Linked DNA regions of Arabidopsis thaliana. The protein of the gene in region 1 interacts with the protein of each later gene in a biochemical or structural test. Each region holds a gene or a part of one and is shown in the gene's direction. Other genes may lie near its edges. The genes, in order: PHV, ESR1, ZPR3 and DRNL.

What was found.
Region 2: the proteins of PHV (region 1) and ESR1 form a complex in vitro, tested with the Arabidopsis thaliana proteins (one study listed by BioGRID).
Region 3: the proteins of PHV (region 1) and ZPR3 form a complex in vitro, tested with the Arabidopsis thaliana proteins (one study listed by BioGRID).
Region 4: the proteins of PHV (region 1) and DRNL form a complex in vitro, tested with the Arabidopsis thaliana proteins (one study listed by BioGRID).

Annotation. Positions count from the first base shown.
Region 1 is NC_003070.9:10,795,585-10,803,215, reverse strand, and holds PHV (Homeobox-leucine zipper family protein / lipid-binding START domain-containing protein), read left to right. Parts: upstream 1-2,122; 5' UTR 2,123-2,471; coding exon 2,472-2,692; intron 2,693-3,203; coding exon 3,204-3,363; intron 3,364-3,493; coding exon 3,494-3,609; intron 3,610-3,690; coding exon 3,691-3,781; intron 3,782-3,876; coding exon 3,877-3,972; intron 3,973-4,058; coding exon 4,059-4,172; intron 4,173-4,248; coding exon 4,249-4,332; intron 4,333-4,410; coding exon 4,411-4,566; intron 4,567-4,652; coding exon 4,653-4,727; intron 4,728-4,801; coding exon 4,802-4,908; intron 4,909-4,980; coding exon 4,981-5,170; intron 5,171-5,262; coding exon 5,263-5,451; intron 5,452-5,534; coding exon 5,535-5,615; intron 5,616-5,701; coding exon 5,702-5,842; intron 5,843-5,930; coding exon 5,931-6,220; intron 6,221-6,318; coding exon 6,319-6,436; intron 6,437-6,519; coding exon 6,520-6,669; intron 6,670-6,741; coding exon 6,742-6,888; 3' UTR 6,889-7,092; downstream 7,093-7,631. UniProt on the Arabidopsis thaliana protein: Probable transcription factor involved in the determination of adaxial-abaxial polarity in ovule primordium. Specifies adaxial leaf fates. Binds to the DNA sequence 5'-GTAAT[GC]ATTAC-3'.
Region 2 is NC_003070.9:4,428,057-4,431,624, forward strand, and holds ESR1 (Integrase-type DNA-binding superfamily protein), read left to right. Parts: upstream 1-1,661; 5' UTR 1,662-1,734; coding exon 1,735-2,721; 3' UTR 2,722-2,909; downstream 2,910-3,568. UniProt on the Arabidopsis thaliana protein: Regulates gene expression patterns in meristems and thus modulates organ development. Required for correct embryo patterning and cotyledon organogenesis. Modulates auxin signaling pathway in early embryos.
Region 3 is NC_003074.8:19,556,991-19,561,493, reverse strand, and holds ZPR3 (binding protein), read left to right. Parts: upstream 1-2,170; 5' UTR 2,171-2,582; intron 2,583-3,386; 5' UTR 3,387-3,399; coding exon 3,400-3,603; 3' UTR 3,604-3,978; downstream 3,979-4,503. UniProt on the Arabidopsis thaliana protein: Competitive inhibitor of the HD-ZIPIII transcription factors in shoot apical meristem (SAM) development. Acts by forming non-functional heterodimers. Part of a negative feedback loop. Involved in SAM development and lateral organ patterning.
Region 4 is NC_003070.9:8,713,812-8,717,407, reverse strand, and holds DRNL (DORNROSCHEN-like protein), read left to right. Parts: upstream 1-2,029; 5' UTR 2,030-2,098; coding exon 2,099-3,019; 3' UTR 3,020-3,043; downstream 3,044-3,596. UniProt on the Arabidopsis thaliana protein: Required for correct embryo patterning and cotyledon organogenesis. May positively regulate the gibberellin signaling pathway leading to germination, hypocotyl elongation, and leaf expansion.

The DNA of each region.
Region 1 (7,631 bases):
TAATGGGATATTAATTTCCAAAAATCGACCAAAGAACAATGACAGAATCCGTGATCCAACTGAAGATCGTCCACCTCAAAAAGTTCTTTATACACGTGAAAAAGTTCAAATGGTAAAATAGAAAACAATGAATTATGTTTCACAAGATCTTCCTTTTCAAATTATTTAATTTAATCTTTGCATATTTAGACTTGTAGCAACTATCAACAAGTCGGACACAACAAACGTTCATGCAAGCGTAAAGCAGTGCCAAAACCACCCAAGAAACCTCAAAGACGACCAAGGAAAAAACAGAAAACAATGGATGAAGAGAACCCTATCACTCAGCCAATACAATCTTCTCTTCAAAGTTAATGCTTGACAAGTCTTTACTTTAGAATATCTTGTCCCTCTGAAACGATTGTTTTTTTTGTGACAAATATTGTTGTGTTGCAACAGCTTCGATAGTTATGTTGGTTGGATTTATTTAAGTATGACTCTTTGGATTATTTTAAGTTGTTGTGTCTTTCTTTCAGCTTCTAAAATCCAAACTAATTAAGCAATTCAAAATCATTTAGAACGTTTTTTTGTAATAAATTCAAAATAGTTTTAAAGAACATCATGTGGTTTTTGCGCTAAATACAAATGTCTCGTTGTTTTTTTTTTTAGAAATTAATATCCCATTAATAATTAATTACTGTGGAGTTAAGTTTATTAACAGGTTTTAGTTCAGGGTTTGTTTTACTAAAAACATAGTTTAGGGTTTAAAATGGATCTGGCCAAAGTTAAGGGTTTTTTTCATTAAATTCCCTAATTTATATTCAAAACTTTCAAAACAAGTTAAAGGAAATAAAACCAATTAAGGTTAACCAAAAAAAACAACAGATTTCACGCATCTCACGCGCATAGTGACATTGTACATACTTGTCATGCATCGTCTCTTCCACATGGATACAAAAGATAGGCATACAACAACACCATCATCATGAAAATATGTACATGCACATACATACATACATACAACGTCTTAGGACTAGAGAGCAAAGAGGGTAGGGAAAATTTGATGCTATGTTTGGGTAGGCCACTGTCACAGAGCTTAAAGAGAAGTGCTTTCTTTCCCTAAGTTAGCAAATTACCCCATTTTGTCAAAATTCCGTTTCTTCTGACAACAACACTTACGTTTTACGAATATAAATAGTTGTAGCATGATTTATTTTTGTTACCAATAGATAAACATATTTATTCTTATCGATTGCCATTAGGACTAGGGATTCTGATAATAATTGATATGTCTTAAAATTTGCAGAGACAACAACTTTGCGTGTTGGTTTTCTCATCTGTTTGTGTTTAGCCTTAGTCTGAAATCTGAATGCATTTAAGTTTTTCAAAACTAATCACTTTCAATCCTTTTTAATTGTCAACATCTACTTGTCCTTTTAATCTAATCCAAGAATATTGAATACAGAAACATGTTTACACAAAGAAAATTAGGTGGTAATGATATGAATTAGAGAAGTGTAATCAAGATTCCATCTCATATTAAACCTATTTAAAAGAGTTGTAAGAAAAAATAATAAAACAAGTAATTATTTACTTATAACTATGCATCAAATATTACGAAACTTTTAAAATGAATTGTTAATCTAATTCAATCAATATTATAATTATCTATTTAACTAATAATATTTATATGGTGGCAACCAAAGAATATATATGGGTCCAACTGGTAATTTAGATGAATTGTAAAATTTTTCGGAATAGTTGCAAACTATAAAAAAGAGTTGTACGAGAAAGTTGTATAATAAAATTGAGAATAAAACTTTTTATAACGTTTTTGATAAAGATTTTATAAATGATAACTGTCAAAGTTGTACAAACTCTACCGCTTTGATAATGAGTTATCAAAGACATAAACTTTTATCCTAGTTAATCATTTTAACTTTTAGAATTTAAGCTTTGAATTAAAATTCAAGCTTAGCTTTGTATAAGAAAAAGTTTAAATATTTTTACTTTGCCTTAACAGTAAAAAGCTTTTAACCAAAAACATTGAATTCAACCTACTCTCCCAAAAATTTCACCTTTAATTTTTTTTGAAAACAATATTTACCAGTTTAGTGCATCTTGTTGGGTTGTTCCTTGTCCTTTCTCTCTCAGAAAGATCTTTACTTTTACTTTTTCAGTATTTTCCTCTCTCTTCTCTCTCTTCTCTCTCTTCTCTCTACTTAGCTGCCTCGCTTTTGCTCCTTTTACCTCTTTCCATCTTTCAATCTCCTTTGAGAGAGAGAGCAAATGAAAAAAACCCAAAAAACTCTTTTCTCCAACCATTACCATCTCATGAACACTCTCACAGGAGGCTCTCTCTTCTCAGAGAGCCTACCCATCTAATATTTCTTCATCTGAGTCTCTTTTACTTCTCTCAAAGTATCGATCTTTATTCTTCTTTTTGTAAACCCTCTCTCTCTCTCTGATTTCTACTGACCTGTTTGGAAGATATGATGGCTCATCACTCCATGGACGATAGAGACTCTCCTGATAAAGGATTTGATTCCGGCAAGTACGTTAGATACACGCCGGAACAAGTTGAAGCTCTTGAGAGAGTTTATGCTGAGTGTCCTAAACCTAGCTCTCTGAGAAGACAACAGCTTATTCGTGAATGTCCCATTCTCTGTAACATCGAGCCTCGACAGATCAAAGTTTGGTTCCAGAATCGCAGGTTATTATTTCTTTATTAATTGTCTTTAATGGAATGTTTTTTGTGTTCTTTGATTGTTTCTGTAATTATAAAATTGAATTTCTTTTGTTTGTATTTGGAGACAAAAATGTTCTTGTCTGACAATGTTTTTGGTAATCTTCTTGTTTTTGGTCTAATTGGTGATTGTTAAGCTTTTGAAACTTTCAGATCTATGTCTATAAATTTGTTTTTCTCTTTTTGCTTATTAGGCTTTTGTTGACACAGTTGAAAGTTAAAATCACAAGGAAAAGTGACAGCTAATCAAACTGTCTTTGATGAGCTTTAAAACGCCTCTCTCTTTTTTTCCTTCTGCAGAGAATATGTTGGAAATTACATTATCTTTTGTTCTTTATGTCATTCTGGTATCATTCTAAAGCAAAAAAGTGTGTGTTTCTTCTGTTCATTTTTCTATTATTTCAACACATTTATCATACTGCTATAGGTTTGTCTTTAACTTTTCTGGTTTCTTTTGGTTGTTTTGTTGACTTTTTAGATGTCGAGAGAAGCAGAGGAAAGAGTCAGCTCGTCTTCAGACAGTGAACAGGAAGCTGAGTGCTATGAACAAGCTTTTGATGGAAGAGAATGATCGTTTGCAGAAGCAAGTCTCCAACTTGGTTTATGAGAATGGATTCATGAAACATCGAATCCACACTGTAAGTCCTTGAATCCCTTTTGCTAAATGCATTGTTGAGTTGTTATCTTTGATGCTTGTATATGTATTTGTTCTTTAAGAGTTCTCTGTTGTTAGAGAGTGACTGGTGAAATCTCTGTGTTGTGTCTTAGGCTTCTGGGACGACCACAGACAACAGCTGTGAGTCTGTGGTCGTGAGTGGTCAGCAACGTCAGCAGCAAAACCCAACACATCAGCATCCTCAGCGTGATGTTAACAACCCAGCTAAGTAAGGAAGGCTCTTTTTTTGTTTGTGAATTTCTCATTGTGACATTATGAGAAGAGACTAAATGGAGTGTTTTTTTGGTAGTCTTCTCTCGATTGCGGAGGAGACCTTGGCGGAGTTCCTTTGCAAGGCTACAGGAACTGCTGTCGACTGGGTCCAGATGATTGGGATGAAGGTAGATAAGTTGAAGTATTTTAACGTTTTCATATGTGGAAATGAAGTGGTTTTTAGAAAATGTTTTAATATGTATTTTCATGGTTATGTATGTAGCCTGGTCCGGATTCTATTGGTATCGTAGCTGTTTCACGCAACTGCAGTGGAATAGCAGCACGTGCCTGTGGCCTCGTGAGTTTAGAACCCATGAAGGTAATGGTGTTTTCTTTTTATTTTAATCTTGTGTTGTAAGAAGCGGAAATTCTACGAAGGCAATCTAAACTTCAAATACTGTGTAGGTCGCTGAAATCCTCAAAGATCGTCCATCTTGGTTCCGTGACTGTCGATGTGTCGAGACTCTGAATGTTATACCCACTGGAAATGGTGGTACTATCGAGCTTGTCAACACTCAGGTCTGTTTCATAAATCCATGAGTGTTGTTTTTGTTCCTTTAAAATGTAATGATCATTATTCATGGTTGGTTATCAGATTTATGCTCCTACAACATTAGCAGCAGCTCGTGACTTTTGGACGCTGAGATATAGTACAAGTCTAGAAGATGGAAGCTATGTGGTGGGTATTAGGACCTGGTTTTGTTCATCTATGATTCTATTTATTAGATTTGCCTTATATTTGCTTTTTTGCCTTCAGGTCTGTGAGAGATCACTCACTTCTGCAACTGGTGGCCCCAATGGTCCACTTTCTTCAAGCTTCGTGAGAGCCAAAATGCTGTCAAGCGGGTTTCTTATCCGTCCTTGTGATGGTGGTGGTTCCATTATTCACATCGTTGATCATGTGGACTTGGATGTAAGCATATTGGATTTGTAATAGCACATTAGGTTTCGTAAAAGCCTTCTATTTATGTTGATTGATACGTTTTTTTGGTTTGGTAGGTCTCAAGTGTTCCTGAAGTCCTCAGGCCTCTTTATGAGTCTTCCAAAATCCTTGCTCAAAAAATGACTGTCGCTGTAAGTTCCATATAAACCTTATCCACCCGTGACCTGATTAGGCTCTCTTTATGAGTTTTACTTCCACATTTCAGGCTCTGAGACATGTGCGCCAAATTGCTCAAGAGACTAGTGGAGAAGTCCAGTATAGTGGTGGACGCCAGCCTGCAGTTTTAAGGACTTTCAGCCAGAGACTCTGCCGGTAATACATTTCCTTGATAAGCTTAGTTTTATTTTCTAAAGCATTGTTCTAATTGCTTTTCTTGAAATTCAGGGGTTTCAATGATGCTGTAAATGGTTTTGTCGATGATGGATGGTCTCCAATGAGTAGTGATGGAGGAGAGGATATTACGATCATGATTAACTCTTCCTCTGCTAAATTTGCTGGCTCCCAATACGGTAGCTCATTTCTTCCAAGTTTTGGAAGTGGTGTCCTCTGTGCCAAAGCTTCTATGCTGTTGCAGGTGCCTATATCATGTTTTGACACTTGTGAATAGACAAAAGAACCGGTTTCTTCAATTTCTGACATCATTCTCTTTTTTATCTGCTCTTGAAGAATGTTCCACCCCTTGTATTGATTCGGTTCCTGAGAGAACACCGAGCTGAATGGGCAGACTATGGTGTCGATGCCTATTCTGCTGCATCTCTCAGAGCAACTCCATATGCTGTTCCATGCGTCAGAACCGGTGGGTTCCCGAGTAACCAAGTCATTCTTCCTCTCGCACAGACACTCGAACATGAAGAGGTACAAAGAATCTCAAGAACATTTTCCTTGTTGTCTATTCTTTTGCCATGCCTATAATCCTATTTTGCTTACTTGTTTCTCAGTTTCTCGAAGTGGTTAGACTTGGAGGTCATGCTTACTCACCTGAAGACATGGGCTTATCCCGGGATATGTATTTACTGCAGGTTTGCTTTATACTAAAGACACTCAGGGATTCTTAAAGATGAGTTATTGAAATTGAATTCTTGGTTTCTTTTTTGCTTTTGTCCAGCTTTGTAGCGGCGTTGATGAAAATGTGGTTGGAGGTTGTGCTCAGCTTGTCTTTGCCCCAATCGATGAATCATTTGCTGATGATGCACCTTTGCTTCCTTCTGGTTTCCGTGTCATACCACTCGACCAAAAAACAAATCCGGTAAAAAGAAAACTGTTTATGATAAGAAATTTGATATCTTGAAATTGACACAGTCCTTTTTCTTTTATTCCTGTATGTAACGTTACAGAATGATCATCAATCTGCAAGTCGAACACGGGATCTAGCATCGTCCCTAGATGGTTCCACCAAAACCGATTCGGAAACAAACTCTAGATTGGTCTTAACAATAGCCTTCCAGTTCACGTTTGATAACCATTCCAGAGACAATGTTGCTACAATGGCGAGACAGTATGTGAGGAACGTTGTTGGTTCGATTCAGAGAGTGGCTCTAGCCATTACGCCTCGTCCTGGCTCAATGCAACTTCCCACTTCCCCTGAAGCTCTCACTCTTGTCCGTTGGATCACCCGTAGTTACAGGTACTCTTCTTAGAACCTTAATCTAAAGACTTGTAACAATATAGAATGTGCTTATCTCATTTAATAACTCAATAAAATGTTTTTCTCCGATGTTTTAGTATTCATACAGGTGCAGATCTGTTTGGAGCTGATTCTCAGTCCTGTGGAGGAGACACATTGCTTAAGCAACTCTGGGACCATAGTGATGCCATATTGTGCTGCTCCCTGAAAACTAATGTAAGAATTCTGTTTTTTTAAGAGGTGCTCAATCTAGTTTATGGTTCGGTTTGGGAATTGTCTGATTATTTTTTGGTTCTCAGGCCTCACCGGTATTCACATTTGCAAACCAAGCTGGTTTAGACATGCTTGAAACTACACTTGTGGCACTTCAGGATATAATGCTCGACAAAACACTTGATGACTCTGGTCGTAGAGCTCTTTGCTCCGAGTTCGCCAAGATCATGCAGCAGGTTAAACATTTTCTAGCTAGTCTTTTAAGTCTTTCCCTGGAAAATACTAAGTTTGGATTGAATCTTCTTCAGGGATATGCGAATCTTCCGGCAGGAATATGTGTGTCGAGCATGGGCAGACCGGTTTCGTATGAGCAAGCGACGGTGTGGAAAGTTGTTGATGACAACGAATCAAACCACTGCTTGGCTTTTACCCTCGTTAGTTGGTCGTTTGTTTGATGAAGGAAAAGGTTGGTTATGTTAGATATTAAAAGTTAGGGGATGTTGTTTTTGGCTAAGGTTTGTTGAATTAGAGAGTCCATAACTCTATATGTAATATGGAAAAATTCTGATGATAATCTCTTTAATCAATTATGACATTATGTATGGCAAGATATTTATTTTTATTTATGTTTTGGACTTGTTTCGTTTTTCTTCATCTTCCTTTTACGAAATTTGATATATATATATATATATATATATATATATATATATATATATAGATAGATATAAGATGAATTATTATTAGTAATCTTATAAGTTTTTATCATGTGTTAATGTACAAATATAAACACAAAGATTGGCCTCAAAAGCATGTCGAATAAACTAAATTAATCATCATAGTTTTTGGCAAAAAACGTTTAATGGACTTGGTAGCTCATATGTAACATGAAAAATGTATGCGGAGTTTAGGTTGTATGCATAAATAATAATCATCCAAAAGATTAGATTTGAATGAATCTTTGACATTAAATGATCAATAATCATTACTAGTATTTATCTATTAAATTGAAATAGTATCTATCACAAGAAAACTAGTCATGATGATGCTGTTCTTTGACTTCTAGGCTGGAGGAACCTATAAACTTTTCTTTTGGGTAGTCTAGTTAGTAATGGAAGTTGATAAATAGCTTTTCTTTTGGACAGAAACCTACAAAACTCTTATGGAAGTTTTATACCGACCAAAAATATGGAAGTTTTAT
Region 2 (3,568 bases), 6.4 Mb from region 1:
CATTTCTTGCTTTCACTTAATTGATTAGGTTGGATATATAATTCACATGTCCAACCCTAATCGAAACCGAAGTATTTCAAGTTGATATTATGATAGATACACTAAAATTATCTCAGAACACGAGCTATCGTAATAATTTACTTTGTGACATCGGAAATCACAAAGACATTTGCATAGGACTGAGCTGGAAACCAAAAGTCTTTAGTTCCCAAAATTATGAAGAATTTCTCAAATTTTTAATAGAAAATAGATAAGTTCACCAATGAACTCTTTTGTTGTTTTTACCATATAGTAATAACTATACTTAACAATTATTATAGTATATATTAACTCAACCTACCCCCCCAGACAAAATCTTATATCAACCATGGATACTGTTAGTTTGGTAATAAAAGATCTTGCCTATGGTTTCACATAGAGTTGTAACATTTCAACATTAGACAAAATGTTATCAGTTTAAGTTCATATTATGACTATGCACATTTTAAATTAAAACATTTTAGTTTGCTTGTAAAATTACAGAATTAACGCAGGGGTTTTAATTGCTGCTTATTGTCTCATTCAGTCATTTGCCGACCAACCAACATAAATCTCAATATAATGAGTTCATGACGTCATGGTCATGGTAGATGGTTTTATAATAATACCTAAAAAATCTCAAATGATGGTAGTAATTAAACACATATGACGCAAACGCAGCCATTACAACGCTATTTCAAAACTTATTTAAACAATTAGTAATACTTACCAAAGCTTTTGAAAGATACTCCAGTAAACTTGTCAAATTCTTATATTGTTCTAATAGACTTTATAATAAAACGTAAGCATCGGGCGATATGGCATGATTATTTCATGACAGAAGAAATAAATAATTTTAACAAAAAAAAAGACAGAAGCAATAAATAAAAAACAAGCTTCTGATACATGAAATACATATATGTCTCATACATACGTTTAGACAAACCTGAAATGTCCTCTTCGTACAATAATATCCACAAGTGTCAGATTTACACTGAAGTGTTGCTATGCATATCTTTTGTTCCATACTTTTCTTACAAAATCATTTATTTTCTTCTCGATATCACCGATTGGTGTATGTTGTAATCATACATTAACATTAACAAACAAAGATACTTTTTCAAGGATTATTCTAATTGGCAGTTTTAGAAATAATGGAATTATCCTTTACTAATCATACAGAAATAATGTAAATATGTTTAGCATGTGTGAAATGACTGTTGGTCGATTTTTAACTTTAATAAATAAAAAAGCAATAAGAACGTGGTTTTATTTCGCCACTCCCACTTGCATCGTCATCATCAAAGAAAAACACTAATGTCTAGACCAAAGATTTAAAACATCTACCCCATATATATATGATGAACAAGATAGCAAGTAAATTTAAATGTAAAATTAAATTTTAGTTTGCTAAGATTAATATACAAAAGAAGTATTATCAATTTATCAGTTATTAATCAAATCAAGTTTTAAGTGCAACTCAAAAGTTTCCATGCTTATATAGTTATTTGTATACTACTATACTGTATGTGCAAGAAAAGCATTTATACTCTTCGCCATATATTTCAAACTTCACAAAATTTAATTAAATTTTTATACCATTTATGTACCTATAAATAGATAGAAGAAGCTCCATCTCTTTCAAACTATCAACCACCAAAATCTTTCACATTACACCTTCCTTTTGTCCTCAAACCAAAACCCTAGAAACCAAAAATGGAAAAAGCCTTGAGAAACTTCACCGAATCTACCCACTCACCAGACCCTAATCCTCTCACAAAATTCTTCACTGAACCTACAGCCTCACCTGTTAGCCGCAACCGCAAACTGTCTTCAAAAGATACCACTGTAACCATCGCCGGAGCTGGCAGCAGCACGACGAGGTACCGCGGCGTACGCCGGAGGCCGTGGGGACGATACGCGGCGGAGATACGTGACCCAATGTCGAAGGAGAGACGTTGGCTCGGAACATTTGACACGGCGGAACAAGCCGCTTGTGCTTACGACTCTGCGGCTCGTGCCTTTCGTGGAGCAAAGGCTCGTACTAATTTTACTTATCCGACAGCTGTCATTATGCCTGAACCAAGGTTTTCTTTTTCCAACAAGAAATCTTCGCCGTCTGCTCGTTGTCCTCTTCCTTCTCTACCGTTAGATTCCTCTACCCAAAACTTTTACGGTGCACCGGCAGCGCAGAGGATCTATAATACACAGTCTATCTTCTTACGCGACGCCTCGTGTTCCTCTCGTAAAACGACTCCGTATAATAACTCTTTCAACGGCTCATCATCTTCTTACTCAGCATCGAAAACGGCATGCGTTTCTTATTCCGAAAACGAAAACAACGAGTCGTTTTTCCCGGAAGAATCTTCTGATACTGGTCTATTACAAGAGGTCGTTCAAGAGTTCTTGAAGAAAAATCGCGGCGTTCCTCCTTCTCCACCAACACCACCGCCGGTGACTAGCCATCATGACAACTCTGGTTATTTCTCTAATCTCACTATATACTCTGAAAATATGGTTCAAGAGACTAAGGAGACTTTGTCGTCGAAACTAGATCGCTACGGGAATTTTCAAGCTAATGACGACGGCGTAAGAGCCGTCGCAGACGGTGGTTTATCGTTGGGATCAAACGAGTGGGGGTATCAAGAAATGTTGATGTACGGAACTCAGTTAGGCTGTACTTGCCGAAGATCGTGGGGATAGCTAGATATTCATCATGATTATGTTTTGAGTTTTGGTACTATCGACTTAGTTTAAAGTTGCTACCTTTCCCAATGTTGGATATTAACTAAATTATGTTTTAAGTTGAATTTGCTAATAGGATTTCATAATTATAATCAAGTTTATAATATATTTTCGTAGCTAATTAAAGTTTATATCCACGTATTCTGACACATTACGCGCTTAATGATTTAAGTTGTATCATAATTTATAATCACATGGTGGAACTTGTTAAGAAGTTACGTAACTCTTAAACAGCTTTAAGCCTCTAACATAGTCGTAATAGCAAGAAATAATATATATGATGAGAGATGAGTAAAATAGGAAAATTCCTTTGTTCAGCAATGTTGGTATCGACCTATTAAAAGTGAATCTGCAGATGAAAAAGTGATATCCTTACATTTATTTGTTTGTAGTCTGAAAAGTGGACTAACGTTCGTACAAAAGGCAGTGTTTGTCTCTGTCTTCTCCAACTTTTCGTGCTCTCTTCATTCTATCACCAAAGGAAAAGCTGAACTACTAAATAACAAAGGTCAAGAACTTTAATATTGATTGATGTCAAAAAAATTAGTAATAAGTACTGATTTTTTCACATGTTGATTAATAAGTACTGAATTTGCAGAAATAAACTAAAATATATGCTTTGACCAAAAAAAAAAAACTAAAATATATGCTTTTTCAAAAAAACTAAAACTAAAATATATGCAGAATGAGTTTAATTCATTGCGAATATATGATGAAATACAAAAAAAAAATTGCGTTTTTTTTTGTATCAACTGTACCCACTACTCATGTTCGCAATTCCGTATGTTTCGTGGTTATTGCGTTG
Region 3 (4,503 bases), on another chromosome or scaffold:
AGGACTTGTTCCTCATCATTGATTCTATAAGATTATATGTTAAATGTCGATGTAGAATCGTAGATACTAAAAGTACTTATATATAGTATTGAGTATTGACAACAATATCAAAACAGGACACAAATGTTTTGATACCAAGTCAATTAAGAATTATATCTCATTTATATTTTAAGTTGTTATATTTTCTTTGTTGCTTTTCAACTTTTCAAATCCTTATCACTTTTTGCATATTGCTAATTCATATCAAACTAGATTTGCTTGTTGAATCGTGAGCGTCGATATTTATCCATATTTAAATGAAAATTACTTCTGTAGTAGTCCATCCAAACATCTGTAGTAGTCCTTTATTTAAAAGTTAAGATGTGCAATGATAATGTTTGCATGCAGTCTAATATGAACACACTTTACACCTTATGAATTCTGAATCGTCTGGCGCAAACATCTAACCACCAAAAACCTAAAAAAACAATCAGAAGAACGAAGAATGGAGAATAGAACAGAGAATCATTTATGTGAGATTTGATTTACCTAACTCTTCCGCCACCACCGACGCAGCAGATGATGCGACATCAATCGCCGGTAAATCAATCTCGGGTATAGCAATCGAACCACTGCGCACATCGCCTTCGAGGTGGATGTGGACTCCTTCAAATAAAGAGATTTCAGTACTTTTCTTGTGCAAAAGAGGCATGCTCCATCATACAACATGAATGTATACATACAGTAGTACGTAGCAAAATGAAATATACGTCATATAAACACAAACTTATATAGACTTTTAATCAGTTAAATTACGGTATATTTTTTTAATTCGTTTGTGTTTATATTATAAAGTTCAAAAAAGATTAGGTTAGATTAACAAAGGAGAAAATAACTAGAAAATTCCAATTAATTAATAAAAGCGAAATATAGTTTCTCTGAATGGTAATCTAATATTCTATACCAAACATTTACTACATTAATAGGGGTTACCAAAACCGAATATTTGAATATTCTTAGGTTTTTGAAATTTACATGGTAAAGAGACAAAGTTTTCAACCTTTTTGGGGTGTGAAAATTGGTCCGACTGGGTTATGATTAACCAAAATTAATCCTAGAACCAACTATATTTATAAATTAAAGTTTCATTTTATAAATAAAAATCAACACCAAACCGAATTGTCAAACTTAGACCAAAGCAATGAGGGGTAGAAACGGCATTGCATAGGCCAGCAAGAAATGAAGCTGCTCACACCTTTAAAATCATTGCCTTTGGTGTAAGCAAGTGTACCCACTCTTTAGTTCCATTTCAAGACACACCTACTTAATACTAATTGTGTTTCAGTTTTGTTTAACTTCTACAATCAGCATATTTACAAAAAACACAATTTCTCACATTTATTCCGTGAAAGAAGGGTTAAAAGAAGCCGTACAAGATTTATATACACAAGCCAAAGTAGTTTTAAATAAACGTGAAATTGTAGTCATCTTCTTTTTGGGGGTTAAGTCATGGGCAAACGAACGAGTTTTATTCAAAGGCATGTGAAGTTACGAAAAAAAGAGAAGTCATAAATACATCCAAAAACAACCACCTCACTGTTTATGATGTTTCACGTTCTACAACACTTTTGATCCATGATTATTTTTTGTAGGTTTTACGGCTCCAAAGTCCAAACACTCTTCTTCTTCATTATTTCTTTCTTTTTTTCTTCTCCCACCATAATTATATCAAATCTTGAATGCTGAGACAATATAAGAGGACAAAAAAATGCATTTTCAAATTGTGGTATACTATGATTTTCATACAAAGAAAAAAGTAACAAATAGTTTAACACACAAAGGAAACTATTTGTATCCGAAATAATAATCTAAAACATAATAATGGTGGAGTGTAATATTTGAACTAAACCAAGATTGAGCTAACCGGGACATGAGATGGGGAAAGAGAGCATTTACAAAATGGTCCAAAACGGTTGAAATAGAATCATGAAGGATGATGGTTCGAACCAATCTTTACCATCATTGCGAATCTTTAGAGGTCGATGGCCTCTTCTACTATAGCCCCTCTCATTAGTCCTACACAAATGACAATATTACCCTCCTCTGTACTACTTCCTTCGTAATGACGTAAATACCCTTACTCTAGTTCTTTTAACCGAATCTTCTGTTTAGAGGACGAATACGATGAAGAGCCAAAGGAAGTGCTAGGGGATCTTTCGGAAATTACGAAAATATCCCTGAAGATCAATTTCGAAAGAAGAGCAAGCAAGAAAACTCCTTTTTTTTTTCTTCTCTCTCTCTAACTTCTTTCTCTTTAATAAATCATCATCATTCACATGACGCAATATGCACAAATCTCCTCTCTCTCTCTCTCTTCTTGCGGCCGCCATCTATGCAGAAACACAACACAATGCATGATTGTTGTGTCAGGAGAGAGAAGGTTCTTTCTCTTTCTCTTTAGCTTTTGGGGATCTATATAACAGACAGTGTCTCACTTTGTTCTCTTTGTCCCTCTACCTTCTCTACACACACAAACTAGCGTCTCTCTTCTCTCTCTCAATCTTTCTTCGTTATCTCTGCTTCTCAACACTCCTTCCCAAAAGGTATAACCTCTATTCTCCTTCTCTCTCTCTCACTCTCTTACTGTTCTAGAAGCTTAACGTGAGTTTTCTCGACATGCTCTGTTTCTGTTTCTTGCTCTGTTATCTATCGCTTTTGCGTTCATACGTTAAGATAATAGTTATGTAGTAACGTCACACGTACAACTAACGTGAAGACAAACCCTTAATTTCTCTCTTTTTCTATGTTAAAACTTTTTCATCTTTTAAAATATTCCTCAATGATGGAAAGTTTTTAATCTTTATCTTTTTCTTTGAGGCAACCGAAATAAATAAAAAAAATTGTTTGATTTTTCTTTTTAATAGTCTGTATTGCTACGATCACCATCTTTGTTTTGTTGCTTACTCTGTTTTTTTCTAGCGTTTCAAATATAATCATTACTCTCTCTGTCCATAGAGGTTAAAACATTTATAATTACTGCATATATATCATCATGATTACTTGTTTTTATCTCTTTTCTTCAATTTCTTTCTCTTTATTAGCTTTATCTTTTTATCCTCCATACAAATTTATAATCATGTTCTTCTTCTCTCTTTGATCATTGATTTCATAAAAAGAAGAAAAAGAAATTCACATGAAAACGAAATAAATGCGACAAATGATTTTTCCTATAGCTAATGTAATTCACATCCGACGTGTGAAGCTGCACAACCCATGTGTGATGTAATGATTTAACATGAACAATAATAATCATAACACAAGCTTTGGTTTTATTGATATTATTACTCTCTTTTTCTCATTTATTTTTCAAAATTCGTAATAATACTTTTGTTTTGTTTTACTTGTAGCAAGAAAGCAGAAATGGAGAGGCTAAACTCGAAGCTGTTTGTTGAAAACTGTTACATAATGAAAGAGAACGAGAGACTAAGGAAGAAAGCTGAGCTTCTGAATCAAGAGAACCAACAGCTTTTGTTTCAACTCAAACAGAAACTCTCCAAAACTAAGAACTCTAACAATGGATCAAACAATGACAACAAATCAAGCTCTGCTTCTGGACAATCTTGATTTAAATCAAGAATACGTTAGAGCAAGAGATCTCGAATCCGTACGTAGGAGAAGATTAAAAGAAGACCCAACCTTTTGGAAGTATTTTATTTTGTTTGGTGTATTATAGGAAGATAAGTAGTATCGAGCACTGTAGTAGTTATTATGAAAAGAAGATTCTGTTTTATTACAAGAAGACAGTGTCTCTCTGTTAGTCTTCTCAGTCATATTTTTACTTTTGTTTCTATTTTCTATGTTAATTAAAGATCCTCTGGTGTGGGGTTGGGGACTTTAGGATATGGTTGATTCTTGGACTAACATTTTGTACCTTTGCTCCATTTATCAAATATTGTCAAGTGCATATCAATCAACTAATGTATCGTATATAACATGGGGACAAGTTATTCGATTTTTATAATCATATACAAAACGCATTCAATATTGATATATCATCTCATACAAAAACAAAAGTGACCCATTTTGTCCATGATATTTTCCGATCGAGTAAGACAGTAAGTGGAAACTGAATCGTTGAATTGACACTAATTATTCATCAGGATTAGCAAACACTTCTTAAGTATAAATAGGTCTATGTAATTTTCAAGTAGACTAGAGTAGAGGAAATGAGGAAGAAAAACAATATTAATAGTAGTGTTTGTGTATATATAGTCTACATGTGTTGTAGCAAGTTCAATGAAAGCTTTATCCTAACATTCTAAATTGAAATGATTTAATTATTATGCCATGTGCATCTGAACAATTTAATTATTATGGTTCAAACCAGTTGTTGATAATATTGGTCATGTAAATCATTTCCTTCAACAACAGTAATACTGGATAAAACCTCAGAATGGATAATATCAGAATACTATAGCTTTAAATAGACCAAAATTGATGCTACGTCAAATTTACACACACTCT
Region 4 (3,596 bases), 2.1 Mb from region 1:
TATATCATGTAATCAATAGTGTTCACCACCCTATATTTTTTTTTTCACTACTCCACCCTATATATTTCAAAGCTATGATAATACTTCTTTTTTTTGTTGTCATAACTCATAAAGTTACAAATTAATTCTTTGTAGTTTCGAAAGACGGAAGCATGCATCAAAATAGAAATATAGGATTTTCTTTTCTTAACAGTTTTCCCGTTTTCTCCATCTGACAAATTGACGTCCATATCGTTTAGGTTTAGAATATTAGTCTGATTTCTATGAATTAAAGATCTAGCTAGAGCCGATTATTCAAACTACTTCATGAATTAATCTTCTGTTGATATGTTGTACCGTGTACGTACAAGTTGATACCACCGTTATATAGGTTCAAGTTTTCCACAAATTTCCACATTTTTTAAAAGTGATTTCGATTCCTTACAAACTGAGCTCTGTGGTGTTCAGCTTCATAATCCACTAATTCCACAAGGAGCTCACGACTTCTCTTCCTTCAACATCTACTGTTTGTAGACATGATTTGCCAACGTTTTGTTGAGGAAACATAGTTTTGTTTTTGTTTGCCTCACATATTTATTCCATTTTTTTGTTTGTTATTTTTTTCTTTTCAATCTGCATATTTTTTCGCGGCACAACCTAAATGAAAAAAAAATTACATGCAATTAGATATGATTGTAAATCGTTATATATATAACAACGGCAAAATATTTAGACACTCCTAAAAGACTTCTGCGTTGATATATTTTTTTTCTCCTACGCGATATATGTCAATAATTACGTGATAAACATAATAACATACGTGATAATTGCATGCAACCCTTATATTTAGACGATTGATAATTTTTTCTCCTAGGCGTGATAAAACTTTTTTTGACGGATTTTTTTTTTTTGCATTCAACCCTTATATTTAGGGCTCGAATATGAATGGAGCTTTACAGACATTAATTGATCAAGAATGTGAGAGAGATTTAGATTATTTTTTATGTAAATGCGAAATTACATTAATTATCAAACATATATATACGAAATTAGTGGTGGAGATTGATTTCCGTAAACGCAAAGGGTCATTAGTCACAATCGAGCTACAGTAGGAAAGCCCTAAAGAGGCTACACCATGAAGAAAGAGCCCTAGTTGAGACAAATCCACGTGACTTTGGTTTACAGATTAAAAAGCAAAACCCTAAATAAGCAAATCGACCATAATCTCGTAAAAAGAACAGACAAAACACAACCTCATGTAGAAGGAACAATTTCTGCGCGCCGCCAGTGTTATTAATTCAGAATCATAATTTCACGATTTTCAACCCTCTCCTTTTAAGCTTCAACTCCAACATCATAATTTTCCCTTCCACAAACTACTGTATAAATCACTTTTAACTCTATTGCTTATTATTATTACTGTAATTCATTATTATTATAAATTAATGACCATTGATTATTTCCCAAAACACAATTAAAGAAAAGTGCGTAAAGATTAAAGAATAATATGACCAACGGAAATAGCTGAAAACGATGACCTTTGAATTTGTTCAAAAATAAATGAAATCAATGATTTTATAATTTTAATTTGTAAATTGTTCAAGAAAGTTTTCTGAAATATATTCATGTCTTTCACTTAAAACAAAAGAATAAATCGACCTTTAATCAACAGTATCAAAGGACCTTTATACTCTGACAATAAGAAAGAATGGTGCAAGGGTTAAGATAAAAATAGTACATCATAATTATGAATTTGTTACTTGTCAAAAAGACATGAAATATGTAACTTATAACTGCTTTTATGCAAGTCCGTAGAAAAGGAAAAAGAAAAGACATGTAAGTTCGAACGTGGAACAAGAACTTCGTTAAACGTACTTTTGCTTTCTGCATCTCTCATAGATTCACAACTCACAAGTCAATAAAAGATGCAATGCAAGTCCATTTTTTTAAATTATATATTGGGTCAGGTCCATCTTAAATTAAAAACAATAAAAATGTATATTTTATTTTCTATAAATACGTAATCAGCTATCATCACATTCAGGTGCCTCACAACCCTAAGACAATCACAGAACAAAAAGAAAAATTCTTAGCTTTAAAAATTTCCCTTAGGTCAACCATGGAAGAAGCAATCATGAGACTCGAAGGTGCCGAGCACAGAGAAACCAACATCCATTCTTTGAAAAGAAAGCCATCAAGAACTTCCTCGACAGCTCCTGGCTCTCCCGGAGGAGTAACTACCGCAAAAGCTGCCTCCGGCGCCGGCGCTTCCGGTGTCTCTACGATAAGGTACCGAGGCGTGAGGCGTAGGCCATGGGGTCGTTACGCAGCTGAAATACGGGACCCATTGTCCAAGGAGAGACGATGGCTCGGAACATTTGACACGGCCGAGGAAGCAGCTTGCGCATATGACTGCGCCGCTCGAGCCATGCGTGGTCTTAAAGCTCGAACCAACTTCGTCTACCCAATGCCTTCTCTCGACTCTTATCACCACCGTATTTTCTCGTCTCCTCCAATGAATATGTTCCTTCTACGAGACGTGTTAAACTCTCAGTCTCTTTCTCCGTTAACCACTTTCGCTTACCCGCCTTGTAATCTTTCTAACGTAAACGACGTTGTTCACGAGTCCTTCACTAACGTCAACGATGTCTGTGAAGATCTCTCGCCTAAAGCTAAGAGGTCAAGTACCATTGAGAACGAGAGCCTGATATCAAATATCTTTGAACCAGAACCAGCTAGTTCTGGTCTTCTTCAAGAAATTGTTCAAGGCTTCTTACCAAAACCTATCTCTCAACATGCTTCTATACCTCCAAAGAGCAACCAACAGTCGGTTGGTGTTTTCCCGACGATGCCAGAGAGCGGTTTTCAGACAGATGTTCGTTTAGCTGACTTCCATGTCGAAGGAAACGGATTCGGTCAGGTTAAATATCATGGAGAGTTAGGTTGGGCTGATCATGAGAATGGGTTTGATTCAGCTAAGATGCAGCAGAACGGAAATGGTGGAATGTTTTATCAGTATTGCTTTCATGATGATTATTAGAATATTGTTGTTGTTCTACTTTTTACGTGCTTATCACTTCACAGTTTCTTTAGGGTTGTAAGAAATGAGGTTAAGGGTAACTAACTCAAATCTTTTGTCTTTTAATTTTTCGTCTAGTGCTATGATCAATTTATCTCTATGTTTTAGCAAAGAACAATTTTTATCTGAGTATGAGCGAAGTTAATTAATTGTGTATGACATATGTCGGTTATGAGCAAAGGTAATAACAAAAATAAAGTAAAAATACTCGAGGTGCTGGATGAAGACAATACCTAAAGGACAAAAATATATATCTTGAACAAATTAAGATTTTTTTTTCTTTTCTATAAGTTGACTTCAGAATCATAAAGACAGCCTTTGTCCTCTTGCTTTTTCTTCTTTCCCTTTTCCCTCTCAGATCACCGTAAGGGCATAATTATATTTAGGTTCACAAAATCCTTTGTCCATTAAAGTATTTGCACCATCAAAACTCAGTAAACATATACTTAAGGACTCGAATTTGCATCAATGTTTATAACCCTTATTCAAAAAAACCATATCCCAATTATGATCTTTAGGGGTACTCTTCAAGTATCCA